2 linked regions of the Arabidopsis thaliana genome follow. The protein of the gene in region 1 interacts with the protein of each later gene in a pairwise test. Each region holds a gene or a part of one and is shown on either strand. Other genes may lie near its edges.

Region 1 (5,161 bases):
AAAAGATTGTTAATTTGCGAAGTAAAAATACAAATTTGCAAGTTGAGAAGTATTCATATTCCTCATGTATTCAATATTGACTCTCATTGTCTAGCAAAAACTATAAAGTTTCATCATATAGCAACTCTCAATGCTATCAACTTCTAGACCACGATGATTGAACAAGAAAAACAAACTTCCATAAAAGCAGTGATATTAGGGTTTCAATAGTTAATTTGGTCGACATTGAATAAGATATTGGTAAAAATCGTGGCAACATTTTTATAATATAAAATTCTAGATTCCGTTTTGCTATTGTATATGTGCTTTAAGAAGATTGAATCTGAGGAATATGGAAATGGAAGCGATGATTTTCTGAGAGGTCATCCTCAACTTGAGCTTTCGCCAGAAGCAGTGAGAGCGAGACTTAAAGAGTTGGCTTTGGCTTTAAGGAAGGGAGGAGGACAAGCCTTTATAAATAATAAGTACGTAGCTTACTTCTTTTAGGATGATTTTATTGTTGGGTCTATCAACCCAACATCTCAAATGAAGCGACGATGTTCGGTATTATTCCTATGTAACTACTATGTAAGCTTTGTGTGAGGTATCTACAACCATAAACCTAAATCTTCACGAACTTAAATTAATATATAAATGATCTGCACAAGCTCCAAATGCAAAATTATCAATCTCCTGCTTGGAAGAAAAAGCACTTGTGTTTTTCAATATTGACTTTCATTTGTTTGAGAAAACAATCCAGTTGATCCAATAGACAATTTTCAATACTATCAACTTCTAGACCTCGATCTTCATACTATGGAATAAATGTCTTCAGGAAATTATCTTTAAAAGGAGATTTCTCTTGAACAAGAGAAACAAAAATAGTTTTGATTTTTGTTCAATAGAAAAGATCTTTGGAGAATGGAGATGCAAACATCAGTTACAGCCTTACAGGTTTTTAAGTTTTATAAATTCTTACTAGGATTACAAGATTATATTAATACATAAAAAAAATAACAGTTTTATTGGATAACAGTTGTATCTTTTTGTTACAAATATCCTGAAAGATGATTACATTTGTAATACAATCTAGTAAATCGGATCTGGGTCAAGGAAGAAAACCGGGCAAACTGGAACCAGCGAAACCCTAATCGTCAAAAGGAAACCACTGCCTCTTTTTTTTTTTTTTTTTTTTTTTTTTTTTTTTTTTTTTGTGAGGTTACAATTACAACAATAGAAGATCAGATAGACCTTCTTTCTGCCTCTTATTTTTTTTTTTCAATTTTCCAAGGCTAACAAATTGTCAATGAAGAGATAATGTCTCTTTAACTAATGTTTTTAAGCAAATTGCAGATTCTCTCTAACCTTTGAAAAAATTAAGTTCGCTTACGAAAATGACTTCTGAAAATCTCAAAAATTTAAGAACAATCATGAAATGTAGGAATTGAAAAAGGGATTTGATGAATTAATCGAAACATCAAAATCATCAAAAAGACAACAAAGAAACAAAAAGAGAAAAACAATTGCATGAAAAAAAGAAGAGGTGAACATAGGCCTCAATAGAAAACAGAAAACTGAAAAACACAAAGGGACATAGATAAATTACTACTCTCCTCTTGATCTTTTTTTCTTGGGCAACCACCTTATCATCCCGATATCCTCATCATCTTCAGGCACCATGACTTTGTTTTTCCCCTTTGAGATGAGACTTTTTGAGTGACTAGAGCCCGAACCATGCTCTTGTAAAGCAAAAAAATCATAACAAAGATCGGTGGTTGGATAAGCAGGAACATGTATATTGCTTGAATCAACCTGGTTTCCAGCAACCAAACTGTATCTAGGCACACAAGGACCCACGGGAGTCATTAGATTCCCATGGAACGATGAGTTAGTGTTGTTATTAGTGCTATTGTTGCTGCCTCCTGTGGACTTGGATGGACCAAGAGTTAGATCAAGATTAATACCATCAGTTGATAAAGCATGTGAGCTACCACCTTGGCCATACTTACAAGGGCCAACAGGAAGCCTTTGCAAGGTGAAAGGAGTACTATCACAAAGCATCGCATCCTCGATTATCTTTCGCTGCTTCTCCAATTCTCGTTCCTTTTTGTGGCACTTCATGTGACCGCCTAGGGCAAAACAGCTTTTGAAATTCCTCTTGCAGAAACGACAGGTGTGGCTGATCTTGTTATCCTTGGGAGGATGTATTAGCACGGTATCTCTTTTCTTTCGGAAAAAACTTAATCTGAAACTAGGCATCTCAAGGTTTGTCCTTTCAGACACAATCTCTTGAGGAGACCTTTGTTTCGGATTGTTTATTGTCTCCTTCTCCTCCACGGCCACAAGGGCACTTTTGAGTTTTTGATCATGTTTGTGTGGGGAGGAGGAGCTTGAAGAAGACATAGATTGGTTGTTCATAATTTGTTTTGTAAAACTTTGCTGACAGTTAGAAGTGAGTGATGTCTTATCTCTTTGCTTAGAGGCGATATTTATTGAGAGGATAGTAATTATTGTATTTAACTCGTTAAGGTATATAATCTCCAAGGGTAACAAATATTAATTGATACCGTAAAACTACTTAATTTTGTTTAAAAGCAATAATTGTTTCTCCAAGACTACAACTGTCATTCACTTTATTCTTTAATTTCTTTCTAGAAAATGATACTTCATAAGATAAAAACACAACAATATAATCAATATTCTTCATATGCGTTACGTATGACTACTATGAGTTATCTATATTCTTAAAAATATGGTTGTTTTTCTAACTATGGTGATTTTATACATTTTGTCTCTTTAATGTCTCTTTAACCTCTTTAACCTTTTGAAAAAATAACGTTTGCTTACGAATAATTGGGCCATGAATTCTGAAAATTGCAGGAATTTTAGAGCAATCATGAGATATAGGAATTGAACAAAAGGGACTGATGAATTAATCGAAACAACAGAGATTATTTGAAACGAAACGAAGAAACAATTGCATGAAAAAAAAAAGAGAGGTGAACATAAGCCTCAATAGAAAACTGAAAAATCAAAGGGACATAGATAAATTACTACTCTGGTCTTGATCTTTTTTTCTTGTTCAACCACCTTATCCTCCCGATAGTAGTATCAGTATAATCATCATCATCATCATCATTTTCAGGCACCACGACTTTGTTTTCCCCCTTTGAGATGAGACTTTTTAAGTGACTAGAGCCCGAACCATTCTCGGGTGAAGGAAACAGAAGATCGGTGGTTCCATTAGGAGGAGCAACAGGAGGCTCCACGGCTTTGTTCTTTTCCATTGAGAAGAGACTTTTCGAGTGACTAGATCCCGAACCATTCTCCTGTAAAGAAAAAAAATCATGATTGTTGTTTCAATAGGGAGGAGCCAAAGGAGGCACCCTGACTTTTTTTCCCACTTTGAGATGAGACTTGAGTGGCCAGTTTCCCGAACCATTCCCTTGTAAAGAAAACAAATCATAACAATAATAGGTGGTTGGATAAGATAAAGCAAAATGACGCACCATGGCTTGGTTCTTTCCCATTGAGAAGAGACTTTTCGAGTGAGTAGAGGCCGAACTATTCCCCTGTAAAAAAAAAAAATCATGACAAACATTGTTGTTTCCATTCGGAGGAATATACCTAGTGTTTGAACCAACCGGGTTTCCAGCAACAAAATTGTTTCTAGGCACACAAGGTAGCACGGGAGTGAACAATTTTCGATAGAACGATGGGTCAGTGTTAGACCAAGAAGATGGGTTAGTGTTAGACCAAGAAGATGGACCAAGAGTGAGATCCAGATTAATATCATTAGTTGAGCTGCTACCGCCATACGCTGGACCAAAGAGGCCGAAAGAGGGCACTGGAAAGCTTTGGAAAGGCGGAAGAGAAGTACCACCAGAAAGCACCGAGTCGAGATTTTTATCCTTTGGAGGATATTTTAGCTCGTTATCTCTTTCCGTTCGGACAACTTCTAATGTGAAAACAGGCAACTCAGGGTCAGGGATCGTGTTTTCAAACACAACCTCTTGAGGGGGCCTTTGTTCCGGATTGTTCATTGTCTCCTTCTCTTCCACGGTCACAACGGCACTTTTGAGTTTTTGATCAGGTTTTTTTGGGGTGGTGGAGGAGCTTGAAGAAGACACAGATTGGTTCTCCATTTTTTTTGTAAAACTTTGATGAGAATTAGAAGTGAGTGATTTCTTCTCTCCGGAGACGTATGGTATATATTGAGAGATTTAATTACTGTGTTGCACTCGCTAAGGTATAAAATCTCCAAGAGCAAATAGCATTAATTGTAACAGTAAATCTACTTTGAATTCATTGTTTTTTGTTTAAAAGAAATAGTTGTGCCTCTTAACAATCTTGACTTTTTTTTTTCTTTCTTAAATATACACCAATTTAATTAATATATTTCAAATTTGACTAGATTTTGTTTATATGAAGTTATGTGTTATATAACTACTATGAATAATTATCCATAGTTTTAAAAGTTATGGTTGTTTTTCTAACCATGTTGATTTATACATTGTCTTCCAAATTAAAATTTGGTGTGCATTATGTACCAACTGGCTTTGTATAATCTAATATTTATTTACTCATGATTTCAAGTACGTGTGTCTCTAGTTATCTTGACTTTGTTCTTTCTGTTTTCTAAAATGATACTTCATATGTTAAAAATACACCAATTTAATTAATATATTTCAAATTTGACTAGATTTTGTTTACATGATGTGTTATATATAACTCCAATGAAAGATAGAAAATATGGTTGTTTTTCTAACCATGGTGATCTTATACATTTTGTCTTCCAAAATAATAATTTTGTGTGCATACCAACTGGCTTTGTATAATCTAAAATTTATCTACTTAGCTAAAATATATCTATAATTGTTATAGTATACGTCATTATGTGTAAAAGTAAATTAAAAAAAACACTAACTCATTTCAATTTTTTTAAAAATGTTACGCTTCAGTTCGTTATATCGACCGTTGCAAACTGGTAACTTCATGTTATTTCATATAGCAATTAATATGTAAAAAATATTAATTGATATGTAAAAAAATGTATTAATAAGCTAAGTAATACAAGATTATATTTTCTATTATATGGAATGATGTTATTTTTCACTTATTTTCTCTAATATATATATATATGATAATTGCAAATACAAAGAAAGGGAAACACACCATTGTA
Region 2 (5,629 bases), on another chromosome or scaffold:
ATATAATTAAGGTGAATCAGGGAAAACTATCATTAATCAAGCATATTATGGCACACATGCTCTTGTGGTTATGTCAAAACCTCTACGATTATTCACTAATCAAAATCCAAGACAATGGAAGCTGAAGTAACATGTTCGTGTCGATATTCAAAGAGATGGAAACCATAAAATATATAGTAATTAATTATTGTGAGGTATTCACAGTGGTTGACTATCCTTTAACTTTTTTGTTTGTGGCAAAAGACAAGTTGTTGACGGAAGGAAAAAAAAACTTTTAACGGATTGAATTGATCACGTGATATATAGTACATGTGATTCATGTGATCACTCCTTTCTCGATATGAAGGGAGTTTTTAAATTCGAAACTTATTAAGAGAAGTAATTAGGCAAAACATTTTGGTATATGAGCCATTTAAAAGCGTTATTAACAGAGATAAGACATGTGTCAATCCGAAGATCACAAAGTTAAATGTTATCAAGCTATAGCTGACCCTTGATCGTGTGACTATTTATATCGGAAATCAAGAAATAAGAAAGAAATTTTAATAAGCTTAATTTATTGTAATTTTATTCTTAATCGATGCGCTGAATTATTATTTTTATTAAAAATCTTTATCTTAACTTTATAATTGATTAGTATCCCAGATTTGGGGTGAGTATAAACGTATCCAAGAAATGATTTTGTTAGGTGGTACTCAAAGGTTTTGAATTGGCTTTTAATCGTACCGCGTCGTGCGGCAATTATTATTTGGTCACGTCCCTCCGATACTGCCCTTGCCCTATGACTTCTAAATAGTTATTGGTAAATAGTAATAAATTTGGTTGAATTTAGCGTCATTTTTTTTTGAGCAAATGTAGCTTTTTTTTTTGTCGAAAGCAAATGTAGCTAAGTTGTTGAATTTGCTAACTACTGAAACTTTCAAAATAAATTACGAAAACTATAATTGTATATCTTTATTGGGGCAAAACTATAGATAATTAAGTTAATTCTTTTAATCCATTTTCATGCCCTACTATTTTTTCGTAAATATTTCAGAATTTTGTAACATTGACCTTCGATGTAATTTTGCTTTCTACAATATCTTTTTAATGTCAAGCAATCTTCTTTTCCTTTTTTTTTTTTTTTTTGATTGGTTAAAAGGTTTGCTTTCTACAATATGTTTCTTGTTGACATGAATGTGAATTTCATTAAGAATTGAAGAGGGTTTGTCAATAATTACAAAATACTTTAACAAGTCAGAAGGCATTACGACCATGCTAAGGATAAGGCCACATTTGTTTTTTTTTTTTGGACAGCGGATAAGGCCACATTTATTTCTGCCACTTAATAAAAAAACAATTCTGTTATATTTTAAATTCATTATTAACAAACAAAAAATGTTACATCTAAATTAATTCTCAACGGTCGTTATCGGAAATAGCTTTGCTAAAAAAACACATCAAACATGTGGGCACGTGTGAAAAAATCTCAAGAAGAAAACGATAGCAAATCCACGAAACGATTGTGTCAATGTACAGTCTCAGGTTACTAAAACTTGAAAGAAGACCTAAACCATTGCGAGTCTCAGGTTCCGTACAAGATCCTTAAGTATACTCATCGAAAAATCTTTATCCATCTGCCACACAAAAAGTTAAGAAAGCATAATTGTAGATTATCAGTTTCATTAATACATCAATATTATATTGGATGAACTACGAGTTATCCATTTTAGTATTGCATATATATATAGTTATTAATGATCACCTGTGCAAGGACTGTGATGTCGAGAGTCGAGTCTCCGAATGGCAATACGATGCTATTTTCAATGCGCAATTGAAAGTTTTCAATTGTGTTTAGTATGTTGATCATGCACCCTTTGCTTTTCTCGCAAAGGATTCGGATGAGAATGTCATTTTGAGAAATTTTCGCTTCGATTTCTGGTAATGCTTGATCGAATTCAATATGAACTGAAGGAGAACATGATAGGTTAGGTTCCTCGTCGAAAAACACTTTAGATTTCTTTACAAGAATCATGGATTCCATTTGTCTCGTTGCTTCTTTTTCTTCCTTGAGCGTTCTTAGTTGTTCTTGGAGTTGTTTCATACGCGAGATCGCGTCATCAAGAATCGTTACCTTGTCCGCCTAAAAAACCACAAGATAGTTTTGTATTCTCAAAACCAATTGACACTGATGAATTATTATTTTTTCTTCACTATGAAAATATCTATAGTTAAATATATAACAAATTTATCGATAATTTACAATTTAAATTTGCAATACCTTCTTAAGCCCGGGAAGGAGAGCTGAAAGAGCAATGAATTTTTCAGAAAGCTTCTCACGGCGCTTTCTCTCGGCTAAAACATGTTCTTTCGCAAGAACCGGAGATCTTGTGCCATGAGAACATGTTTTTCTTTTGGTTCCACGACCAACCAATTTATCCATAATGATCTCCTCCGCGGCTGGAGAAGAAATAACATTACTAGAGAAATCAAAAGAAATCAGTTGTTGCTTGTTGTTGATCTTCATCATAGGCTTCACCGCTGCCTTTGGCTTCTCTCTGAGGCACTCAAAATGCATTTGATGATCAAACTTTGACGATTGATCAGCTCTTCGTGAATTTGATAAAGATTCATCAGGTGATAAATTATTTTCTTCGTAAATATTAAAGTCGAAATCAATGTCTACTAGTGAGAAATCGGGTAAGAAAAAATCTTCATCCATACCCGAATATGAAGTAATAATCGATAAAGAAATGTCAAATAGTTTCCTGATTAAGACAAAGATAAATCGAGAGACGTCTTTATTGTTTTGTCGTAAAGGGTTTATGAATAGAAAGTGTTTTCAGGTATTCTTACTATATATTCGACAACGAGACGCGGCTTAAATTATTTTCTCCACTCCATAATTATGTTGACCAGATTGTGTATATAATGCATAAAACGTGACGTATATGTATAAACTAAACATATTATGATCGAAACTAGAAGTCTTCTCATTATTGTCTATAATGATCGTATAATTTGTTGGCTTCTAGTGGTCTGAGATTCATATACGTGTTATGAATTTGAAAAAAAAAAAACTACGTGTTATGGACCCAAAAAAAAAAAGTAAGAGAAGAGAGACGTGTAAATAAAATAAGCACGTGTTTTTGGTGTTGAGCTTATTCCCACTCGGAAACAACAAGGATATAGAAAAACTCTGTAAAGCCTCGTCCCCGTCTTCCCGTCCATCTAACAACCTCATTACTTTTTATAAAGGAAAATATACAAAAGTTATACTTTATTATCTTTTATTTATTATTTTAATTGTAATTTTATCCAAAAAAAAATCATATGAAATGTTAAGTTTTATACCGTTTGCAAATTTTTCATCCAGAAAATTACATTGTTAAATTGAAAGAGAAAAAAAACAAAATTTACTTACGAAACAAAAAATTACAACAATTTTTTAATGAGTTTGAAAATTCATGAACATATCTCGACTCGTTATACTGCAATAAATTAGATTAATGGTGGATATGATATCGAGGGATATGTTGCAGAAGAAGTTATGATACCATGTGGATGTCGACATCTATACATTTATAAACAAGTTGTGTTTGATAATTAATCGATCATACTGTTTTGTCTTTAAACTCAATTTGATTCCGATAAGGCGATAACGACCCCAGACATAATAAATGTCCCTACTCCCTACCAAACGGGTTATTTAGTCTTAACTGCACTAATAAGAGGCCAGACCAGGTTGGTATGATGACGAATTCACATATACATCCACTATCCAGCCCAAAAATGCAATGGTTCTGGGCCATGGCCATTTAAAAACAAACATTTCATATGAAGGATTTATGTAAGAAAATTAAAAAGTTAATATGCCTACAATATAAGATCCAAAATTAAGGCTTCCAATTAGTCTGGGTCGGTTTAATTCACTAGTTCTCTGATGAAACGATTATGTACTGATTCGACTAATTCAATGTAATGACTAAACAAAAAAAAAATAAAAATGTAATGACTAAAAAACTGGATAATGAATTAATATGAGCAAAAAAAGAATTAATATGACAAACATATTTTTAACTAAATTATAAATATCAAAATTAGAAATTGTTCAATTGGTACTGATAGTTTTTTTTAAACAGTACCAAAAATATTAAAATTATAAATTGCCTTTGTCTCTAGTAATATTGGACCTAATTGTTTCTTCTTCACAAGCAATTTTATTAAAAAGGTGGACTAGCTTTAATTTGCTCATCATCCCTTCGACAAAAACCCAAAAATTGAAATGGTCTCGGCATTCGCAATTTGAGTTTGAATATATTTTTCCGTAAGCAGATCAGGAACTTGCTCTCCAACGCAAATTCGGAACGTTAGGAATCCTAAGTCTAACTTAGGATAAACGCCAATGTATGCGGCATGGAATTGGTAAGCTCTTGGAATATTCTTTCCGTAGTAATGCGTACTACAATTATATGTGTGTACATGTCTATCGTCACGATATATTTGATAATAAAGATTTGGTACGTATCTCTTGAAATGAAGTCACAACAGTGCCTTTTAAAAAGGTCAGTAGAATTATAAAATGGAGATTTTGTTAGAAAATTTTGGATACGAAATCTGGATAACATATAATATTTTTTTATTTATGATATAAAGTGAGACAAATGTGTATCCATGCCATGGTCCTTCCGGTTGGTGGTGCGGTGGGGACGGGATATGCCGCCGAAATATCATAAATCCAGCTGACGACCAATCTTTTACTCACACACTCTCTTTTCCTTTTTCTTTTTTATATATCATATTATTACATTAACACACTATTTCGTCAATGAGTTTGGATAGGACCAATCATTTTCATTTTATTATTGTCGTCCTAATCAAACTCACTGTTAAGGGGCCTTCCAATTTTGTCTTTTTCCTTCGTCCATAATTCTAATAGTTGGGAACTAACCATTTATATTATTCTATTTTATATACAAAAAAAATAGATTTTAGGTATGAAAATTGTTAGTGTTATTGGTTAGCCACTGGATCCGTAATTATTTGAATTCTTCATATAATATCAAAAACAAAAATGAGTTATTATAATTATAGACTACGTACTAATTTTTTTAGTTTATCATATGTTGAATTTCTTCAAAGCGAGAAGAGAGAAGACAACAAAACAAAATTCTTATAAGCGAGCTCCTACTATAATTTAATAAGATATTTTCCATCAAAACCCAAAACCAAGTTAGATAAAAAAATTCTAACAAATGTAAATTATATATAGTATAAGCGTTATTTCTTATCTAATACCCCTACTAGTTTCAGAAATATACCAGTAGCCTTTCTCTTCCCATCATTAAGGACAATTATGGTCCAGAAACAAAATATCATGTAATTAAGATTGCTGTTAGCCTGTTAGGTACTTAAGTTTATGTGACCTTCTAGGCATTTTGGTTGGACTTTTTGGACCTGACGAAGACAAAACAAAACTCCAAAGAACACTTTTGGTTTTCACATTTGTTTGACCTCCGTGAAACGAGTTTCCAATAGAATAAGGAAAATGCCACGTTTTTAATTCAATTAAATAACTCATGGCTCATGCATTGCTTTGGTCGCCTGTTTTTAAGGAATTTCCACTATAACTATAACTTTTGCTTTTTAC

Evidence for each region. The genes of interacting proteins can lie anywhere in the genome.
Region 2: the proteins of AT5G54360 (region 1) and AT2G22760 interact in a two-hybrid assay, tested with the Arabidopsis thaliana proteins (one large-scale study listed by BioGRID).

What each region holds. Positions count from the first base shown.
Region 1 is NC_003076.8:22,069,098-22,074,258, reverse strand, and holds AT5G54360 (C2H2-like zinc finger protein), read right to left. Parts: upstream 2,398-5,161; coding exon 1,585-2,397; downstream 1-1,584. Other genes in the region: AT5G54350 (C2H2-type zinc finger protein), read right to left, coding at 3,339-4,124.
Region 2 is NC_003071.7:9,675,084-9,680,712, reverse strand, and holds AT2G22760 (basic helix-loop-helix (bHLH) DNA-binding superfamily protein), read right to left. Parts: upstream 2,870-5,629; 5' UTR 2,702-2,869; coding exon 2,261-2,701; intron 2,123-2,260; coding exon 1,745-2,122; coding exon of another isoform or gene 1,709-1,744; exon of another isoform or gene 1,617-1,708; coding exon 1,548-1,616; 3' UTR 1,211-1,547; downstream 1-1,210.